3 linked regions of the Anolis sagrei genome follow. The protein of the gene in region 1 purifies or fractionates together with the protein of each later gene. This does not show direct contact. Links are inferred from orthologs where the notes say so. Each region holds a gene or a part of one and is shown on either strand. Other genes may lie near its edges.

The links. The genes of interacting proteins can lie anywhere in the genome.
Region 2: the proteins of OTUD1 (region 1) and FLNA purify together in Homo sapiens (affinity purification with mass spectrometry; 3 studies listed by BioGRID and IntAct, with this or other methods). This does not show direct contact. The link is inferred for Anolis sagrei from reciprocal best matches to the Homo sapiens genes OTUD1 and FLNA.
Region 3: the proteins of OTUD1 (region 1) and FLNC purify together in Homo sapiens (affinity purification with mass spectrometry; 3 studies listed by BioGRID and IntAct, with this or other methods). This does not show direct contact. The link is inferred for Anolis sagrei from reciprocal best matches to the Homo sapiens genes OTUD1 and FLNC.

The regions. Positions count from the first base shown.
Region 1 is NC_090026.1:108,588,624-108,595,954, forward strand, and holds the start of OTUD1 (OTU domain-containing protein 1), read left to right. Parts: upstream 1-4,321; 5' UTR 4,322-4,638; coding exon 4,639-5,736; 3' UTR 5,737-7,331. UniProt on the Homo sapiens protein: Deubiquitinating enzyme that specifically hydrolyzes 'Lys-63'-linked polyubiquitin to monoubiquitin.
Region 2 is NC_090022.1:176,930,169-176,937,700, reverse strand, and holds the start of FLNA (filamin-A), read left to right. Parts: upstream 1-4,528; 5' UTR 4,529-4,768; intron 4,769-7,532. UniProt on the Homo sapiens protein: Promotes orthogonal branching of actin filaments and links actin filaments to membrane glycoproteins. Anchors various transmembrane proteins to the actin cytoskeleton and serves as a scaffold for a wide range of cytoplasmic signaling proteins.
Region 3 is NC_090025.1:195,929,089-195,936,488, reverse strand, and holds the start of FLNC (filamin-C), read right to left. Parts: upstream 3,005-7,400; 5' UTR 2,748-3,004; exon of another isoform or gene 2,170-2,747; 5' UTR 2,156-2,169; coding exon 1,798-2,155; intron 1-1,797.

The DNA of each region.
Region 1 (7,331 bases):
AAGAGACGGGCAGCATGCCTTCCTAGTTTCCCTGATGGACTGTGATGTCATTGCCACTCATTTTGAAAGTATCCCTTTCCTAGAGATGCCAAACTTGTCAGGACAGTTGCCAGGAGACAGCAAATGTTGAGGATTACTTTAGCACTGAATCATTCACAAATATATCTGAAGGGGAATATAATGTCATGATGTGTTTTGAATGAAGTCACAACAAGTTTCAATTTTGATTCCTTAAAGATTATAACATGTGTAATACTTCCCAAGGTTAAAAAACATATACATCATCAGATAGATGTCTTTTTTCAAGATATAAAAACAATCTATTTTTAGAAGATTTCTAATTTCTTTGATTTAGCATCTACCTTTGTTCCAAATAACTTGGTAACCAAAAAACACCTAACTTCCAGTTTGTTTTCCTGCTGAAATTTCTCCCAATGTGTTAGAACTAATCTATGTGTCTAATGAAATGTATTCCACAATTTCAAAGGATGTGAGGAAAGGAAACAACATTTTTTAAAAAGAAACAATTCATAAGTTAGTTAAGATAATTCCTCTTAAACAATCTACTTGTGTGTGTGTCAGGAGCAACTTGAGAAAAACTGCAAGTCACTTCTCGTGTGAGAGAATTGGCCGTCTGCAAGGACCTTGCCCAGGGGACGCCCGGATGTTTGATGTTTTACCATCCTTGTGGGAGGCTTTGCTCATGTCCCCACATGGGGAGCAGGAGCTGACAGAGGGAGCTCATCCATGCTCTCCCCAGATTCGAACTTCCAACCAGTCGGTCTTCAGTCCTGCCAGCACAAGGGTTTAACCCATTGCATCACCAGGGGCTCCTAAACAATCTACTAATATTATGTAATAACGAAAACATATACGAAGGTTATCCTGAAAGTAAGGTTACAAGATTTTTTAAAAAATACAAAGAATGAATATATTTTAATAAAACTTGCATGGGTTGTAGCCAGGCCCGTAGCCAGGATTTCGTTTCGGGGGGGGGGGGGGGGGGGGGCTAAAGTTTTTTTCAGGAGGGGGTTGGGGGGGCTGAGTTTCGGGGGGGGGGCTGAGTCTCAGTTAAAGAGGGTCTAGCTTAGCAAACCTTTTGTATCATTACCCCAATACCCCCATGCATATGGGATAAAATGAGTATGGTGATCAGATCATGATATGAATAAACATAACAGTTTAAATAATGCACCAATAAGGCCTTTTTGCGAACCACCATGAAAATTTCGAGGGGGGGGGGGGCTGAAGCCCCCCGAGCCCCCCCCCCCCCCGGCTACATGCCTGGTTGTAGCATAGGTATTACATTATTTTTCCACATAATCACCATTTAGTTCAATACATTTTGTCATCCGTGGGACGAGTTTTTGATGCCTGTGTCATAGAAGTTTCCCTCTTCCTTTTTCAGTCAGTTTGTCACTTCGATTTTCACCTCATGAGAGAAGGAAAAATGTTTTTCACCAAGGCGTTCCTTCAATTTAGTGAACAGATGATAGACACTGGGTGCAAGATCAAGGACGTGGGAGGGGTGGTTTAAAACATCCCAACCAAATTAAGTCAACAACTCTTGTATTGCATGAGCTATGTGCGAATGCGCACTGTCATGAAAGAGACAAGACTCCCACTGTCAGCATCCCACGACCTTTGTTTTGGATGGCTCTGCAAAGTTTCATGGTCTCACAATATATTCAGTACCCATTTTGCCACATGCTGTCTTGACATTATGTCATCTCCATAAACTGAAACGGTTTTGTGATGAATCACAGCGGTGGTCATGCCCTTAGCATTTAGATAGCATATTACAGCACAAACTTTGCACTGGGAGGGAAACAGAATGAGGACGCTCATCTCTAACCTTCACAATGTCAGTCGATGAGCTACTAACGACTGGCACTGCTCATTCACTTCCACTGGCTTCCTGCTACACAGCAGTGATACCAACTTCCCCTGAAAAAATTCCCCGCGAGAGCTACATGCCTTGGAACCTTACTTTCTGATAACCCTCGTATTAAGAGGGAAAGTAGGAAGGAGGCTACTCCTTCTGGACAACTCCCATCAATAAAAAAAGATGTCCAGAACTACAACCATGTTAGTCTATTGAAGTAAAACCAAAATGTGCATACGTCTCAATGATTTGTGCTTACCCCAAAAGTATAGTTGAATCCTAACAAATTTATAGCGCAAAAACCTTCATTGGGAGCTTGGTTTACATCACAACAAAATTACACTGGAGAGAATATTCAACAGACACATGTCTATTAATACATTACTGATGTAAAATCTGTAACTTGATTCAGGAACAACACAGTAAATCCAACTAGGAATGATTAACATGTTAACTATGCCATTTTCATTCCTGTTATCACTGGAGAAGTAGCTTATAATCAAAGACAGATAGCAGTTAAAACTGGTTTTGTAGCCACAATTGGTAGCTACCAACTGTTGGTTTGACGGTGTTTCAAGTTTTATAATGTTAGATACCATATTTCAGGTTTTTTGGGCTCATTGGTTATTCTTTGTGTGTTTTTGTTAAGTATCTATGATGTAAATCCAAATGACTGGGCTACAGTAAACTGATTTAATCAATGCTTACTTGGAAACTCAACAGATGTGTAAATTCCAGTTATTCCATGAATGTACTGCAATTGAGACTACCAATTGCATCCAGATCAATATGCCTTTTTACATATTTTTTTTCATTAGCAGCATTGGGTGGGGAAAGTCAATATACATAGTGCTTGCCTCTTTTTTCACCTTGGATAGAAGGGTCCTCAGCTCAAAAAAAAAAGCTGGGTTGCAGTTAGACATAAAAAAATCCAATATTATGGCAACCAGACTGATCGATAACTGGCAAATAGGGGGAGAAAATGTGGAGGAAGTGACAGGCTTTGTATTTCAAGGTGCAAAGATTACTGCAGACACAGACTGCAGCCAAGAAATCAGAAAACGTTTACTTCTTGGGAGGAGAGCAATGACCAATCTCGATAAAATAGTGAAGAGTAGAGACATCACACTGGCAACGAAGATCCGCATAGTTAATGGTATTCCCCATAGTCACCTATGGACATGAGAGCTGGACCATAAGAAAGGCTGAGCGAAGGAAGATAGACACTTTTGAACTGTGGTGTTGGAGGAAAATTCTGAGAGTGCCTTGAACCGCGAGAAGATCCAACCAGTCCATACTTCAGGGAATGAAGCCCGACTGCTCATTGGAGGGAAGGATATTAGAGGCAAAGATGAAGGACTTTGGCCACATAATGAGGAGACAGGAAAGCTTGGAGAAGACAATGATGCTGGGGAAAAAGGAAGGAAAAAGGAAGAGGGTCTGACCAAGGGCAAGATGGATGGATGGCATCCTTGAAGTGACTGGATTGACCTTGAAGGAGCTGGGGGTGGTGACAGCCAACAGGGAGCTCTGGCGTGGGCTGGTCCATGAGGTCACAAAGAGTCAGAAACAACTGACCGAATGAACAACAACAACATTATTATTATTACTGTAAGAGAAAATCCACCTTTAATAATAATAATAATAAAATTATATCATAATAATTAATCAATATATAATACCAAAACAATAAACATGGCTCTATCGCCCGAAAAAACCCACAAGAACCTAGTAATACCAATAGGGTACACATATAATAATGCATATTATAATATATATATATATATATATATATATATATATATAAAACAATAAATAATCAAACAATAAATAAACAGGGTTACTGTGAGTTTTTGGGACTGTATGGCCATGTTCCATAAGCATTCTCTCCTGACATTTCTCCCACATCTATGGCAGGCATGCGCAGAGATTGTGAGGCCTGTTGGAAACTGGGCAAGTGAGGGTTATACATCTGTGGAATGTCCAGGGTGGGAGAAAGACCAAGGGCAAGATGGATGGATGGCATCCTTGAAGTGACTGGACTGACCTTGAAGGAGCTGGGGGTGGTGACGGCCGACAGGGAGCTCTGGCGTGGGCTGGTCCATGAGGTCACGAAGAGACGACTGAACGAATGAACAACAACAATCCTTGGTGGGGTTCAAGGCGATCTTTGATTGTAGGTGAACTATAAATCCCGGGGGGGGGGGGTGAACCTCTAACCATCCTCCTCTTCTTGCCTACAGCTGTGTTTGTATGGCCCTGAATTTTGGAGGCCCATGGCAATCTGTGAGCCTGTTCCTCCAGTCCTGGCGCCTCCAAGGAAGGAAGGAAGCGAACAGGAAGGAAGTAGGGAAGCGGGCAGGGCAGGCCTCCCCTTAGCTGACACGGGGGAGGAGAGGCCCCGCCCCTCCGCGCGCCAGGCCACGCCCCCTCCTCCTCCTCCTCCTTTCCAGCGTGGGGAAGTAAACAAGGCCCAGCCCTTCCACTTCCCAGGAGGGAGGGGGTGAGGAGGGAGGGAGGGAGGAGTTGTGGCGCAGCAGGAATTCCCGCTCGGGCGCGGCCTGAGGGAAGGCACGAAGGGGAGGAGGGAGGGCGGCGGTTGGCGGTCCGGAGGGTGATGCGCGCGGCTATTTCGGAGCGGAGGCCTGACCCTTGTCGGCGGGCGGCGAGGAGGGGCCGCGCTCTGGCCTTGGCCCGGCCTCCCCCCGCGGGCCGCCGGGGCCTATAAAGCAGCCGCAGCAGCAGCAAGGAGGATGCAGCTCTTCAGCACCGCCGTCGCGCACTACCCGCCGCCCGCCACCCCCAACGCAGCCTCAGCAGGAGGAGGAGGAGGAGGAGGAGGAGGAGGGAGCCCCAGCGCGGACAGCGGGCCCAGCGCCGCCTTCAAGGCCTCTGCGGAGGGCGCAGCGGAAGGGGAGAGCCACCCCTCGAGAGGAGACTCCTCCGCCATTATGCCCGCCTTCTCCTGCTTGGAGCTGCTCCCCGCGGCGCAGAGGAAGCCCAACATGGTGCGCCGCCGGCCTCTGGACCCCTCCTGGCTGCCCCTCGAGAGCGGAGGAGAGGGTGCCGTTCCCGCTCCAGCAGCAGCAGCAGCAGCGTCTGGAGGGCCTGCCTTCCCGCCCCAGCCGGAGCCTAGCAACCGCGGCCTGCGCTTCAGCGAGCACTGCCAGGCTTTGCAAGCGGCGGCCTCAGCGGAGGACCGGGCCGCGCACCCGGAGGCCGCCTCTCCGCCCTCGAAGCTGGCGCTGTACTTGGCCGAGGTGGAGAAGCAGGACAAGTACCTCCGTCAGCAGGGCCGCTTCCGCTTCCACATCATCCCGGACGGGAACTGCCTCTACCGCGCGGTGTGCCAGGCCGCCCACGGGGAGCAGCGCCGCCACGGGGAGCTCCGCGAGCAGACCGTGCACTACATCGCCGACCACCTGGAGCACTTCGGCGCCCTCATCGAAGGCGACGTGGGCGAGTTCCTGGTCAACGCGGCGCAGGACGGCGCCTGGGCCGGGTACCCGGAGCTGCTGGCCATGGGGCGCATGCTGGGCCTGGCCGTGCGCCTCACCACGGGCGGCCGGCCCGAGAGCCCCACCGTGGCCACCATGGAGCACGCCCTGCCCGGCTGCCTCGGCCACCAGCCCCGCCGCAGCGGCGGCACCATCTGGCTCAGCTGGCTCAGCAGCGGGCACTACGACGCCGTGCTCGACCGCCCCGCCCCCAACCCCGAGTACGAGGCCTGGTGCCGGCAAGCCCAAGCCCAGCGCCGCCGCGACGAGGAGCTCGCCAAGGCCATGGCGCTCTCGCTCTCCCGGATGTACCTCGAGCAGGGCCAGGGAAGGGGCGCCGCCGCCGGGTCCTGACTCCCAAGGCCAGGCCGGGAGGGAGGGAGAGAAGGGCTCGCCCTGGACGCCTTAAGACTTTCTGAGGGACCAGCCCAGGCTGACTGAACTCTGTGCAGGACTGGGCAAACTTGGGCCCTCCCTCTAGGTGGGCTGGACTCCAACGCCCACTATTCCCAACAGCCTCAGTCCCTTCCCTTTAATTTCCAAACATCTAAAGCAGACTTGGGCAAATTTGGGCCCTCCAGATGTTTTGGACTCCAAAGCCCACCAATCCCAACAGCCTCTGTCCCTTCCCTTTAATTTCCAAACACCTGGGCAAACTTGGGTCCTCCAGATATTTTGGATTCCAACCCACACAATTCCCAACAGCCTCAGGCCCTTCCCTTTAGTTTCCAAACTTCTAAAGCAGGCCTGGGCAAATTTGGACCCTCCCTCTAGGTGGTTTGGACTCCAACTCCCACCATACCTATCAGTCTCACCCCCCCCCCCCCCCCGTTAGATTCCAAACATCTAAAGCTGGCATGGGCAACCTTGGACTCTCAAGGTGTTTTGGACTCCAAATCCCACCAATCCCAACAGCCGCTGTCCCTTCCCTTTAATTTCCAAACACCTGGGCAAACTTGGGCCCTCAAGGTGTTTTAGACTCCAAATCCCACCAATCCCAACAGCCTCGGTCCCATCCCTTTAATTTCCAAACATCTAAAGCAGGCCTGGGCAAACTTGGCCCCTCGAGGTGTTTTGGACTCCCAAATCCCACCATTCCAAACAGCCCTTTAGTTTCCAATCATCTAAAGCAGGCCTGGGCAAACTTGGACCCTCGAAATGTTTTGGGCTCCAACTCCCACCATTCCCAACAGCCTCAGCCCCCTCCCTTTTGATTCCAAAAATCAAAAGCAGGCATGGACAAACTTAGGCCCTCCAGATATTTTGGACGTCAACTCCCACCATTCCTAACAGCTTCAGGCCTCTTCAGCGGCTGAGGGGGAAAAGGAAAGGGCCTGAGGCTGTTAGGAATGGTGGGAGTTGACGTCCAAAACACCTCGAGAGCCCAAGTTTGCCATGTCTGATCTAAAGCCTAAAAACTTTTTCTGGGGTTGGTATATCTTTGCCCTACAGAAGTTAAATGAATGGGAATACTTTTTCAATGCCATGGGTGTACATTTTCAATGCCATGGATGTAGACATCACGTCTTCCAAATCTGAAGAATGTGGGAAGAGCTTTTCTTCTCCCTGAAGCTCTGCACGTCCTCTAAAATCTGCTTAAGGCAGTGGTTCCCAACCAAGGCTTCAAGGTGTTTTGGACTACCAAACCCCAGAAATCCTAGCCTTTTTACCAGCAGTTAGGATTTCTGGGAGTTGAAGGCCAAAACATCTGGGGACCCAAAAGGTTGAGAACCACTGGCTTAAGGATTCCTCCCCAAGCATCAAGCAGACTTTGTTTTTTAAATGTGTTCCCTAATTAAAGCATTCAAATACAGGGCAGATTAAATTTTCATCAAGGTCTGAAACGTACACTTTCTGTGCAGGAAGGAGAACATCCCCACAAACAAATTGGCTTTTCCTATCCTAGAATTAAATTGATATATTTTCAAAGCCCCCAAAAAAGAGACCTG
Region 2 (7,532 bases), on another chromosome or scaffold:
GGAAACTGCAGAGCCTGGGAAAATTGTTTTTTGGAACTACGCATTCATTGGCAATTTTGGGAATTGTCACCCAAAGAAGTCACTTTCCCAAGTTAAATCAACTGCCTCCTATAATTCATCCATGTAGCTCATGGTAGTCTCCAAAATAACTGGTACTTGTTCTCCAGGGGTTCAGGAAAAGGTCTTTTCACAGCAGAGATTGAATCTTACACCTTATGCAAGGAAGACAAGTACTCTGCCACTAAATTACAGCCCTTCCCTAGTGATTTCTACCATGATTCCTGGAGAGAGTAATATCACTTGGGTTTTGCCATTTAGACACCAAAATATCTTGGGCAACTTGTGTGATGATTCCTGGATCCTTCACTCAACAGGCACCAGCCAGAAGAACTGCTAGCAAAAATTCTGCTTTAATAAGCCCATCTGTCTCAAATATAACCCATACATGCTAAAATAAGTCTAAGTCTTTACTGAACAGAATATGGGATGCTTTTTGTTATACCATAAGTGATCCATTGATAACACTATGTAAAACTATTTTTGTTCCTGGGTTATAAATGTCATTTCCTAATTGGTTCTATCATAAAGTTTATTGAACTGCAAAAACTTTGTTTTTGTGGGACATCCCGTAGGACATTCTGCTATAGTTTTTCAATGAATATCTCATCAAATCACAACCAATTCAACATAGTTTGTGGCAATCACAAAAATGAAGTTTCTCGAATATAACAAGATATATACTTAGATTGTTTTTACAGGGCAAATAGCTTTTAAATTGTTATTTATTAATACTTATAGTATTTAAATTGTACTAAAGATCATTGTTTTTGATATCGTTGTTTATAATGTATTGCTTATATATTTGTATTATTGCTTGTTGTAAGCCTCCTGAGTCCCTTTGGGGAGAGGGGGCGGGGTAAAAATAAAATTTATTATTTTATAAATGTATAACAACTACCGTATATACTCGAGTATAAGCCAACCCGAATATAAGCCAAGGCACCTAATTTTACCACAAAAACCTGTGAAAACGTATTGACTCAAGTATAAGCCAAGGGTGGAAAATGCAGCAGCTACTATTCAATTTCAAAATAAAAATAGATATCAATAAAATTACATTAATTTGAGTCACCTACGGGCTGAGAAAGGTGGTATACAAATACAGTAAATAATAAATATATTGTCGAAGGCTTTCATGGCCGGAATCACTGGGTTGTTGTAGGGGTTTTTTTGGGTTATATGGCCATGTTCTAGAGGCATTTTCTCCTGACGTTTCACCTGCATCTATGGCAAGCATCCTCAGAAGTAGTGAGGAAGCCAACCTTAAAAACTCTGGCATAGACACTGAGAACTGGGAAGCTCTGGCCCGTGAGCGCTCCAGCTGGAGGTCAGCTGTGACCAGCAGTGCTGCAGAATTTGAAGAGGCATGAATGGAGGGTGAAAGAGAGAAACGTGCCAAGAGGAAGACACGTCAATCCAACGCGGACTGAGACCACCTTCTACCTGGAAACCGATGCCCTCACTGTGGGAGAAGATGCAGATCAAGAATAGGGCTCCACAGTCACCTACGGACCCACCAGAATACTGATCCTGGAAGACTATCCTACTCGGCCAACTAGGGATCGCCTAAGAAGAAGAAAAAGAAGAAAGAATGTGCGTGTCTCTTGTTCCACACGGCCTCGCCTGGTCCAGTCCTTGTTGTTTGTCCTCCATCTTTGTTGCAGACTACAACACTGGAAAACGGGGTTCAATACAGTTGGCCATGGAAACTATTGCATAACTCTGAACACGTGAAACACTTTCAGACCCGAAAAACCATGATAGGTTCAGCTTTGGATGGCCATAAGTTGGAAATGACTTGAAGGCACCCAACAACAAGAAACCCTTGCAACCACTGGCTGGGAATAGGTTAAAAGATGTGGAAAGTCCAAAGTTCTGCATTTGTGGAATGGCTTATGAGAAGATAGCTGTACCCTTCTCTCCTTATCAAGTAAGACACTTGCTCTGCAGCTATGGCTGTGGCAATGCCCACCAGCCACTTATCGCTCCAAACCCATTGCCTGCAATTCCTCATTTCCTGCCACTTCCTAGCATGCCTTCTTCTGTTTCCTACCCCATGTCCCTCAACCCTATTCTTCCTGCCTTCCTAGGCCTATTATTGATCTTTTAGTACTCTTGTCTTGTCTGAGTACTAAGTTAATCAAACAGCTTCTCATCCCATCCATGTGACCAAGTAAATGTCCTGCAAAGTCAGAATTTGGAGAGAGTTACTTTTACTCTAAGGAACGTTTCCAAGCTCTAGCCAAAGGTTGGAGTAGGGAAAGAGATCTGAGTTCTCTCTCTTAAAGTATATTGGCTCAAGATAGAGCGCAGTCTGTTCAGCGCCTTCCAAGTCGCCCAGTCCTCTGTGTTCCCAGGGCGGAGCAGGCCTGTAGTGAGGGGGTGGTTTTAGGGGTTCAACCCCCCCCCCCGAAATGTTTCAGATTTTTTTAAAAAAACCTGTTTTACTCATGAATTTTAATTGGTTAACCAAATCCCCATGCTAAGTCTATGAGATGCAAAAAAATTAAGTCGCTCCAGAACTGCAAGCACTATCTCAGGCAAATATTGACAATTTATTCACACTGTCATTACTTGCAGCAATAGGCGATGTAGTGAAGCAACCAAGTTGGGGGTGTGTGTGTTGAATGCTCTCATTAAGGAGGCCAGACTTGGTGGAGGTGGTTGACAGGCTACTGAAGGCTGCTCTGCCCCTGCTGTGCTCTTTGCTTCAGCGTGAGCTAGGAGGCAGGTTTCAACCCCCCCCCCACGAAAATTTCAACCCCCCCTGAAAATTTCAACCCCTCCCGAATTTTTTTTCTGGCTACAGCCCTGGGGGGGAGGGGGAGTCTCTCATTTGGTATCAGCCATTGGTTGAGGTGCTGGGTTTGAGCCTGCCACTTTTGGACTCTTGCTTGCTGAGGTGTTCCAGTGAGTGTCTCTGTAGATCTAAGAAAACTATGTCTTGATTTTAGTCGTTGATGTGCTGGCTGATACCCAAACAGGGGATGAGCTGGAGATGTTTCTGCCTTGGTCCTTTCACTATTGGCTGCTACTTCCCGGCGGATGTCGGGTGGTGCTATACCGGTTAAGCAGTGTAATTTCTCCAGTGGTGTAGGGCGCAGACACCCTGTGATAATGCGGCATGTCTCATTAAAAGCCACATCCACTGTTTTAGTGTGGTGAGATGTGTTCCACACTGGGCATGCATACTGAGCAGCAGAGTAGCACAGCGCAAGGGCAGATGTCTTCACTGTATTTGGTTGTGATCCCCAGGTTGTGCCAGTCAGCTTTCGTATGATATTGTTTCTAGCACCGACTTTTTGCTTGATGTTCAGGCAGTGCTTCTTGTTGGTAAGAGCACGGTCCAGAGTGACTCCCAGGTATTTGGGTGCGCTGCAATGCTCCAGTGGGATTCCTTCCCAGGTGATCTTCAGAGCTCGAGATGCTTCTCTGTTCTTGAGACGAAAGGCACATGTCTGTGTTTTGGATGGGTTGGGGATCAGGTGGTTCTCCCTGTAACAGGCAGTAAGAGCACCTAGAGCTTCGGAGAGCTTCTGTTCTACCATCTCAAAGTTCCCTGCTTGAGCAGTAATGGCACGATCATCAGCATAGATGAAACTCTCTGTCCCTTCTGGCAATGACCCTCATCCAATGACTGATCAAGACCAAACTTGGCACACAGAGCCCCCATGACCCACTCTCCATCCTGGTGCAATTTGGAGGAGGATGGACCACAGATTATGGGACTCGCAGTACCTTCACTAACTTCCTGAGACCACTGCGAGCCATATAAATAACTGATAAAGACCAACCTTGAGACACAATTCCTTTCTCAAATAACCAGGGCAGTGCTGGATCCCCAAGCTAGTAAATAAATAAGATAACCCAGTTCAAAGCAGATATTGTGGGATTTTCTGCCTTGATATTCTAGGATATAGGGCTGGGTGGAAGGGCCCTGAGTCCACACTGCCATATAGTGTAGTTCAAAGCAGAAAATGTGGGATTTTATTCAGCAGATTGGAAGGGGCCTTTAAAAGATAAATGGTGTCCCCTGACATGAAGTCCAGTCATGTCTGACTCTGGGGTGTGGTGCTCATCTCCATTTCTAAGCCGAAGAGCCGGCGTTGTCCACAGACACCTCCAAGGTCATGTGGCCGGCATGACTGCATGGAGCGCCTTGGCCATCCCTAAACAGAGTTCCTGCCTGGCGCCCCCTGGCGGAGGGCAATGCGGTGCCTCCTTGATTCCCTGCAGGGAGTTGTCCATTCACCGATGCAAAGGGCGCCCCCTAGAGGGAAAAATCGTAAGTTTCCTCGTCCAAAGCAAGAGGGAAAGAGGGGCACTTTCTACCCCGGTGTGGAGGCGCTGCCTGCACTCATCCCCGGGGGCGGTGTCTGGGCCGGTCCTCCTTCTCTCCCTCTCTCTTTCCTTCCTTCCTTCCTTCCTTCCTTCCTTCCTTCCCTGTATCTGCTGCCTCCCCTCCCTCCTTCTCTCCTCCCTCCGAGCCTGCTCTTTACCAATTAAGGCTTGCTGAGCCGCCCGCCCGGCCGGTGTCCACCCGCCGCCCCCCGCCGCCCGGCCAGTCCGAGCCCGGCTCCCACCCGAGACGCAGCAGCAGCATCCTCCTCCTCTTCTCCTTCCCGACCCAAAGACCCCCGTCCCGAGCCCAGGCAGGGCAGGAGGCACCCCACGCCGAGCCCAGCACCCGCTGCACCCGCCCGGAGAGGTGAGCAAGGGAGCCTGGAAGGGAGAAAGGAAGGAAGGAAGGAAGGGAAAGAAGGAAGGAAGCAAGGCTGGGTCTCCCCAAGAGTTGGGATGGAGAGGTCTGCAGAGAGAGAATGAGAGGGAGCCTGGCATTAACTGGACGCAGAAGGAGGAGAGTCACAAAAAGGGGAAAAGTCAGACAGAAAGGGAAATAGGGGAGGATGATGAAGATGGGAAGGATGGAGCAGAAAAGAAACTTGGGGCCCTTCCAAGTTTGAACTGGGTTATCTGAGTCCACACTCAGGGCTCTTCCACACAGCCCCATATCCCAGAAGATCAAGGCAGAAAATCCCCCAATATCTGCTTTGAACTGGGTTATTTGAGTCCACACTCAGGGCTCTTCCACACAGCCCCATATCCCAGAAGATCAAGGCAGAAAATCCCCCAATATCTGCTTTGAACTGGGTTATTTGAGTCCACACTCAGGGCTCTTCCACACAGCCCCATATCCCAGAAGATCAAGGCAGAAAATCCCACAATATCTGCTTTGAACTGGGTTATCTGAGTCCACACTCAGGGCTCTTCCACACAGCCCCATATCCCAGAAGATCAAGGCAGAAAATCCCCCAATATCTGCTTTGAACTGGGTTATTTGAGTCCCCACTCAGGGCTCTTCCACACAGCCCCATATCCCAGAAGATCAAGGCAGAAAATCCCCCAATATCTGCTTTGAACTGGGTTATTTGAGTCCACACTCAGGGCTCTTCCACACAGCCCCATATCCCAGAAGATCAAGGCAGAAAATCCCCCAATATCTGCTTTGAACTGGGTTATTTGAGTCCACACTCAGGGCTCTTCCACACAGCCCCATATCCCAGAAGATCAAGGCAGAAAATCCCACAATATCTGCTTTGAACTGGGTTATCTGAGTCCAAACTCAGAGCTCAATATCAATATCCCAGAATATCAATATCCCAGAATATCACAGTCCTATATCTCAGAACATCAAGGCAGAAAATCCCCCAATATCTGCTTTGAACTGGGTTATCTGAGTCCACACTCAGGGCTCAATATCAATATCCCAGAATATCAATATCCCAGAATATCACAGTCCTATATCTCAGAACATCAAGGCAGAATATCCCACAATATCTGCTTTGAAATTAGTTATCTGAGTCCACACTCAGGGCTCTTCCACACAGCCCCATATCCCAGAAGATCAAGGCAGAAAATCCCCCAATATCTGCTTTGAACTGGGTTATCTGAGTCCACACTCAGGGCTCTTCCACACAGCCCCATATCCCAGAAGATCAAGGCAGAAAATCCCCCAATATCTGCTTTGAACTGGGTTATTTGAGTCCACACTCAGGGCTCTTCCACACAGCCCCATATCCCAGAAGATCAAGGCAGAAAATCCCACAATATCTGCTTTGAACTGGGTTATCTGAGTCCAAACTCAGAGCTCAATATCAATATCCCAGAATATCAATATCCCAGAATATCACAGTCCTATATCTCAGAACATCAAGGCAGAAAATCCCCCAATATCTGCTTTGAACTGGGTTATCTGAGTCCACACTCAGGGCTCAATATCAATATCCCAGAATATCAATATCCCAGAATATCACAGTCCTATATCTCAGAACATCAAGGCAGAATATCCCACAATATCTGCTTTGAAATTAGTTATCTGAGTCCACACTCAGGGCTCTTCCACACAGCCCCATATCCCAGAAGATCAAGGCAGAAAATCCCACAATATCTGCTTTGAACTGGGTTATCTGAATCCACACTCAGGGCTCAATATCAATATCCCAGAATATCACAGTCCTATATCTCAGAATATCAAGGCAGAAAATCCCACAATATCTGCTTTGGACTAAGTTATCTGAGTCCACACTCGAAGCTCTTCCACACAGCCCCAGAATATCAAGGCAGAAAATCCCACAATATCTGCTTTGGACTAAGTTATATGAGTCCACACTCGAAGCTCTTCCACCCAGCCCTGTATCCCAGGATATTAAGGCAGAAAACCCCTCAATATCTGCTTTGAACTGGGATATCTGAGTCCACATTCAGGGCTCTTCCACACAGCCCCAGAATATCAAGGCAGAAAATCCCACAATATCTACTTTGAAATGAGTTATATGAGTCCACACTCAGGGCTCTTCCACACAGCTCCAGAATATCGGCAGAAAATCCCACAATATCTGCTTTGAACTGGGTTATCTGAGTACATACTCAGGGCTCTTCCACACAGCCCCATATCCCAGAAAATCCCACAGTATTTGCTTTGAACTGGGTTATCTGAGTCCACACTCAGGGCTCTTCCACACAGCCCTATATCCTAGAATAGCAAGGCAGAAAATCCCACATTATCTGAGTGTGGACTCAGATAACCCACCCAGTTCCCAAGCAGATATTGTGAGATTTTCTGCCTTGATATTCCAGGATATAGGGCTGTGTGGAAGGGGAGGAAGGAAACCCCCGCGATGGAGGAAGCAAGAGAAGCTGTCAAAGGAAGAGAAGGGATGCATACAAGACCCACAGAAAGGGAAGGATGGGAGTCTGAAAGTGAAAGGAGGAGAGAGCTTCAGGCCCCTTCTACACTGCCATATAATCCATAGCGGATCATCTGCATGATCTGCTTTGAACTGAATTATATGAGTCTACACTGTCATATAATCCAGTTCAAAGCAGGTGATCTGTATTTTGCACAGCAGTGTGGAAAAGGTCCTAGAGCAGTGGTTCTCAACCTGTGAGTCCCCAGATGTCTTCAACTTCCA
Region 3 (7,400 bases), on another chromosome or scaffold:
ATCGCGTTATGATTCCACTTGAGTTGCCTTGGTTCCACCCCATAGAATCCTGGGATTTGTAGTTTCACACAATGTTGTCACACAGATGTCTCTAACTCCTAAACGACAAATCCCATTTGAACTGTTATGGATCAATACAGGATTCTATAGGACAGGACCATGGCAGCAAAAGCAGGATCTCAGTGCGATAGCAATTATCGCACTGCACAATTATCGCATGGTGATTCCACTTGAGCTGCCTTGGTCCTACCTTATGGAATCCTGAGATTTGTACCAACTCTGACTTCTAGACTATACATCCCAGGACTCGAAAGGATGGAAGCATGGCAATAGGACGAGAGAAAGCAGAATTTCAATGCGATAGCAATTATCGCACTCCACAATTATTGCGCTGCCTTGGCTCCACCTCATGGATCCTGGGCTTCATACCAGATCTGACTTCTGTACTATAAATCCCAGGACTCACCAGGATGGAAGCACTGTCTACAAATCCCATTTGAACTATTGTGGTTCATTGAAGGGTTCCATAGGACGGGAGGATGGTAGCGAAAGCAGAATTGCAATGCGATAGCAATTATCGCACTCCACAATTATCGCACTGCCTTGGCTCCACCTCATGGATCAGCTCTGACTTCTGTACTATAAATCCCAGGACTCACCAGGATAGAAGAACTGTCTACAAATCCCATTTGAACTATTGTGGTTCAATGAAGGGTTCCATAGGACGGGAGGATGGTAGCGAAAGCAGAATTGCAATGCGATAGCAATTATCGCACTCCATAATTATCGCACTGCCTTGGCTCCACCTCATGGATCCTGGACTTCATACCAGCTCTGACTTCTGTACTATAAATCCCAGGACTCACCAGGATGGAAGGACTGTCTACAAATCCCATTTGAACTATTATGGTTTAGTGAAGGGTTCCATAGGACAAGAGCATGGTAATGAAAGCAGAATTGTAATGCGATAGCAATTATCGCACTGCACAATTATCACACTGCCTTGGCTCCACTTCATGGAATCCTGGGGTTTGTACCAGCTCTGACTTCTGGACTACAAATCCCAGGACTCACCAGGATGGAAGCACTGTTTACAAATCCCATTTGAACTATTGTGGTTCATTGAAGGGTTCCATAGGACGGGAGGATGGTAGCGAAAGCAGAATTGCAATGCGATAGCAATTATCGCACTCCATAATTATCGCACTGCCTTGGCTCCACCTCATGGAATCCTAGGATTTGTGCCAACTCTGACTTGTGGACTACAAATCCCAGGACTTGCCAGGATGGAAGCATGGCAATGAAGGTGGAATAGCAGGACTATAGCACCATCTACAAATTCCATTTGAAATATTATGGTTCAATGAAGGGTTCCATAGGACAAGAGCATGGTAACGAAAGCAGAATTGCAATGCGATAGTAATTATCGCACTGCACAATTATCACACAATCCTGGAATTCGTACCAGCTCTGACTTCTGGACTACAAATCCCAGGACTTGCCAGGGTGGAAGCATGGCAATGAAGGTGGAATAGCATGACTATAGCACCGTCTACAAATCCCATTTGAACTATTATGGCTCAATGAAGGGTTCCATAGGACAAGAGCACAGTAACGAAAGCAGAATTGCAATGCGATAGTAATTATCGCACCGCACAATTATTGCACAATGCTGGGATTCGTACCAGCTCTGATATCTGGACTACAGATCCCAGGACTTGCCAGGATGGAAGCATGGCAAGGAAGGTGGGACAGCAGTGCCGTTACACCACCACATGCATGGGCACCCAGACTCACCGATGGAGACCAGCTTGATGTGCTCCCGGTCGAGGAACTCGAGGGCCACGGAGACGTTCTCCAGCTTCATCTGGCGGAAGTTGGGCCGGGCATGGTACTTGCGGTACATCTTCTTCTGGCTCAGCACCTCGAGGAGGCCAATGAGCTTCAGCCCGTCGCTCAGGTCCTTCTGGAGGTCACCGATGCGCTTGTTGACGCACTTGAGGTGCTCATTGCACCAGCGGGTGAAGGTGTTCTGCTGGATCTTCTTCCAGGGCGCGTCCTCGGCCAGGTCCTTCTCGGTGGCCGGCATCTCGTCCTGCTCCTCGCCTGAGCCATAGGCCGCCGGGGACTGGTCGTAGTAGCTGTTGCTGTTCATGGTTGTGGGTGGATCTAGGTGGACAAGGAAGAGACACCAAGCAGGTCAGAAGATGCTGAAATCGACCAATTCACAGGATGGACAATAATGTATCCAAACAAGGAATCAACCAGCCCAACAGATGGAAAGTACGGTTGAAACCAATCAGCTCAGGAGAGGCTGAAGAGGAGTGGTGGGAAGGAAGGAGTCCAGAGGATGGGTGAAAGTGACCAGCTCAGAAGAGGCTCAAGTGGACACGGCCAGAGGATGGGGACTGAGCAGCTCAGAAGAGGCTGAAGTCCCTCCACTCCCAGAGAAGAGAAACTGATGGATGGGTTGACCCACTCAGACTCAGTTGACCAGAAATCCACCAGCTCAGAAGACACTGAGGTTGATCAGCTCAGAGGAGAGAAACTGACCAGTCCAAAAGACAAGTGACCAGCTCAGATCCTGAAAGGGGACAGCTTCGAGGAGAGAAAGTGACCGGTCCGAAGGGTTTCCCCAGCTGAGAAGATGCTGAAAGTGGAGGGCTGGAAGTGACCCGTTGAGGGGAGGGCTGGAATGGCCCAAATCCTGCGTGGGAAGTTGGCGAAGTCACAGGAGTGGAACTCACCCGAGGAAGGAAGGAAGAGAGAGGCACAAAACAAGCTCTCCAACTTTTCGCAAGTTTCCTGGTCGAAGGGAAAGCGCTCCAAAGGTGTGAGAAAGTCCAGAAAGAGACGCGGAAATCAGGCAGGAACACGAGTGGGGTCCTGGGTTGTCTTTTCCTCTTGGAGAAGGAAGGCAGGCAGGCGAGGAGCCGAGCGAGGGAGCGATGCGCCCTGAGCCGCACGCCGGAGAGTGTCCCTCCGAGGGCCAGGAGGGGCTTTTCTAAGGCGCCCCCTCCCCTCCCCTCCCCTCCTGGGCAGGCCCCTCCCCTCCCACGGACCCCCCCCCCTTCCCCCTTCCCTCTCCCTCCACGTCAGGGCCCAGGACTCCCAGGAATGCCTCCGCTCTGACCATATACAACGAAACGGGGAAGCAGGCGCGCCGGGCTCGGCACCCGCACCCCCACGCGCGCCCCACGCCCCCTCCAAGCCCGGCCTCTCAGATAGACACGCCACTCCGGATTGGGCGCCCGAATGGCCACGGGGTGCCCATTGGATGAGGGTACACCCAGACAGCCCCCTTTTCCCTACCACTCCTTCTCCTCCCTTCTTCCCCTTGAGGATCCCCAAGAGTCACCACCAACTTTGCGCTCAACTTTGCGCCTCTCCACACTCCCAGGCTATTTTTAAGCCTTTCCCTTCGCCACAAAAGAGGGGGGGGGGGGGTCCCAGAGTTGGAGGGTGGAGGGCTTTGGGTCTCGGTTGGGGGGGATGTGGAGGGACAAGCCTGGCCCACAAGCTGGACAATAAGGGACACCAAGAAGAGGAAGACTTTCTCAGCTGGAGGGTCACAATTGCGTCAAAGCGTGACTTGGTCACAATTGCTTCAAAGCCCATTTTGGGGGAATACCAGCCACTTAGAATCCCAGAATCATAGAGTCATAGACTTGGGAGAGAGCCCATGGCTCACCCAGTCCAACCCCTTGCCAGGTAGGAAGGCACCATCAAAGTATCCCCAACAGATGGCCATCCAGCCTCAAAGCTTCCAAGGAAGGAGCTTCCACCAGACTCCCAGGCAGAGAGTTAATCATAGAATCATAGAATCAAAGAGTTGGAAGAGACCTCCTGGGCCATCATCCAGTCCAACCCCATTCTGACAAGAAGCAGGAATATTGCATTCAAATCACCCCTGACAGATGGCCAGCCAGCCTCTGTTTAAAAGCTTCCAAAGAAGGAGCCTCCACCACACTCCCTCCGGGGCAGAGAGTTCCACTGCTGAACGGCTCTCACAGTGAGGAAGTTCTTCCTCGTGTTCAGATGGAATCTCCTCTCTTGTAGTTTGAAGCCATTGTTCCATTGCGTCCTAGTCTCCAGGACAGCAGAAAACAAGCTTGCTCCCTCCTCCTCCCTGTGGCTTCCTGTCATAGAATCATAGAATCATAGAATCAAAGAGTTGGAAGAGACCTCATGGGCCATCCAGTCCAACCCCCTGCCAAGAAGCAGGAATATTGCATTCAAATCACCCCTGACAGATGGCCATCCAGCCTCTTTTTGAAAGCTTCCAAAGAAGGGGCCTCCACCACACTCCGGGGCAGAGAGTTCCACTGCTGAACGGCTCTCACAGTCAGGAAGTTCTTCCTCATGTTCAGGTGGAATCTCCTCTCTTGTAGTTTGAAGCCATTGTTCCATTGCATCCTTGTCTCCAAGGAAGCAGAAAACAAGCTTGCTCCCTCCTCCTCCCTGTGGCTTCCTCTCACATATTTATACATGGCTATCATATCCCCTCTCAGCCTTCTCTTCTTCAGGCTAAACATGCCCAGCTCCTTAAGCCGCTCCTCATAGGGCTTGTTCTCCAGACCCTTGATCATTTTAGTCGCCCTCCTCTGGACACATTCCAGCTTGTCAATATCTCTCTTGAATTGTGGTGCACAGAATTGGACACAATATTCCAGGTGTGGTCTAACCAAAGCAGAATAGAGCACGGGGAGCATGACTTCCCTGGATCTAGACACTATGCTCCTCTTGATGCAGGCCAAAATCCCATTGGCTTTTTTTGCCGCCACATCACATTGTTGGCTCATGTTTAACTTGTTGTCCACGAGGACTTCAACATCTTTTTCACACGTACTGCTCTCAAGCCAGGCATTGTCCCCATTCTGTACCTTTGCATTTTGTTTTTCCTGCCAAAGTGGAGTATCTTGCATTTGTCACTGTTGAACTTCATTTTGTTAGTTTTGGCCCATCATCTCTCTAATCTGTCAAGATCGTTTTGAATCCTGCTCCTGTCCTCTGGAGTATTGGCTATCCCTCCCAATTTGGTGTCGTCTGCAAACTTGATGATCCTGCCTTCTAACCCTTCATCTAAAGCAAAATAATACAACATAAAATCATAAAATAATATTGTTATTTATTTATTTATTTACAGTATTTATACTGCACCCTTCTCACCCCGCAGGGGACTCAAGGCGGATTACAATGTACATGGCAAACATTCAATGCCAAAGACACACAACAGATATAGGCAGACAGTCAGAGGCTATTTAACTTTTCTGGCTGCCAGGAGAGCTGTCGCTTTCATCGTCCATCTGCGACACTGATGAAGTATTTCCGCATTCCCCGCATGCTTTTGCTGGAGTCTTTTTTATGGCCTCATAAATTATTTAAATTAGCTTCTCCATGCATAGGTGGTACCTAAATTTCCTACTTGACAGATGCAACTGTCTTTTGGGTTGCAAAGGTCGACAACAATCTACACAATTGGTCAGAAGCTCACTCCGACCCGGACTGGCTTCGAACTCATGACCTTTTGGTCAGAAGTGATCTTGACAAGCTGGAATGTGTCCAGAGGAGGGCAACTAAAATGATCAAGGGTCTGGAGAACAAGCCCTCTGAGGAGCGGCTTAAGGAGCTGGGCATGTTTAGCCTGAAGAAGAGAAGGCTGAGAGGAGATATGATAGCCATGTACAAATATGTGAGAGGAAGCCACAGGGAGGAGGAGGGAGCAAGCTTGTTTACTGCTTCCCTGGAGACTAGGACGCAGAACAATGGCTTCAAACTACAAGAGAGGAGATTCCATCTGAACATTAGGAAGAACTTCCTGACTGTGAGAGCCGTTCAGCAGTGGAACTCTCTGCCCCGGAGTGTGGTGGAGGCTCCTTCTTTGGAAGCTTTTAAACAGAGGCTGGATGGCCATCCGTCAGGGGTGATTTGAATGCAACATTCTTGCTTCTTGGCAGAATGGGGTTGGACTGGATGGCCCATGAGGTCTCTTCCAACTCTTTGATTCTATGATTCTAACAGTATCTCTTGCTGTTTCTTTGTCAGTGTTGATCTGGAGAGTGTCTGGTTTGCGTACTCTGGAACAGGCAACATATAATTGTCCTTCTTTAAGGGTCTCTTTCAAATCTATGATACTATATATCCGTGTGCATGAATCATATATATCTATCTATATCTATGGCTGGAAGGCTCGTTGTCAGGAGGGCTTTGATTACGTTTTCTTGCCCTGGTGAAGGGAGTTGGCTTGGATGACGTTAAGTATTTTCTGTTGGTCATGGCGGTTCTTTGTGTCAAGTTTGACCCAATTCTGTCGTTGGTGGGGTTCAGAATGCTCTTTGATTGTAGGTGAACTATAAATCCCAGCAACTACAACTCCCAAATGTCAGGATTCTATTTTCCCCGAACTCCATCAGTGTTCACATTTGGGCATATTGAGTATTCTTGTAGAGTTTGCTCCAGATCCATCATTGTTTGAGTCCGCAGTGCTCACTGGATGTAGGTAAACTACAACTCCAAAACCAAAGGACACTGCCCACCAAACCCTTCCAGTATTTTGTGTTGGTAATGGGAGTTCTGTGTGCCAAGTTTGGTTCAATTCTATCGTTGGTGGGGTTCAGAATGCTCTTTGATTGTAGGTGAACTATAAATCCCTGCTACTACAACTCCCAAATGTCAAGGTCTATTTCCCGCAAACTCCATCTATGTTCATATTTGGGCATATGGAATATTCGTGTCAAGTGTTTGAATCCACAGTGCTCTCTGGATGCAGGTGAACTACAACTCCCAAAGTCAAGGTCAATGCCCACCAAACCCTTCTAGTGTTTTCTGTAAGTCATGGGAGTCCTGTGTGTCACCTTTGGTTCAATTCCATCATTGGTGGAGTTCAGATTGTAGGTGAACTATAAATCCCAAGAACTACAACTCCCAAATGACAAAATAAAAAAAATGAGTGAAGGACATACATTGGGTTGTTAGGTGTCTTGTGTCCAAATTTGGTGTCAATTCACCCACTGGTTTTTGGGTTCTGTTAATCCCACAAACGGACATTACATTTTTATTTATATAGACCAGTGGTTCTCAACCTTCCTAATGCCGCGACCCCTTAGTACAGGTCCTCACATTGTGGTGACCCCCAACCATAACGTTATTTTCGTTGCTACTTCTTTAATTTTGCTCCTGTTATGAATCATAATATAAATATCTGATATGCAGGATGTATTTTCATTCACTGGACCAAATTTGGCACAAATACCTTAAACGCCCAAATTTGAATACTGGTGAGGTTGGAGGGGGTTGATTTTGTCATTTGGGAATGTTGGAGTTGCTGGGATTTATAGTTCACCTAAAATCAAAGAGCCTTCTGAACTCCACCAATGATGGAATTGAATCAAACTTGGCAC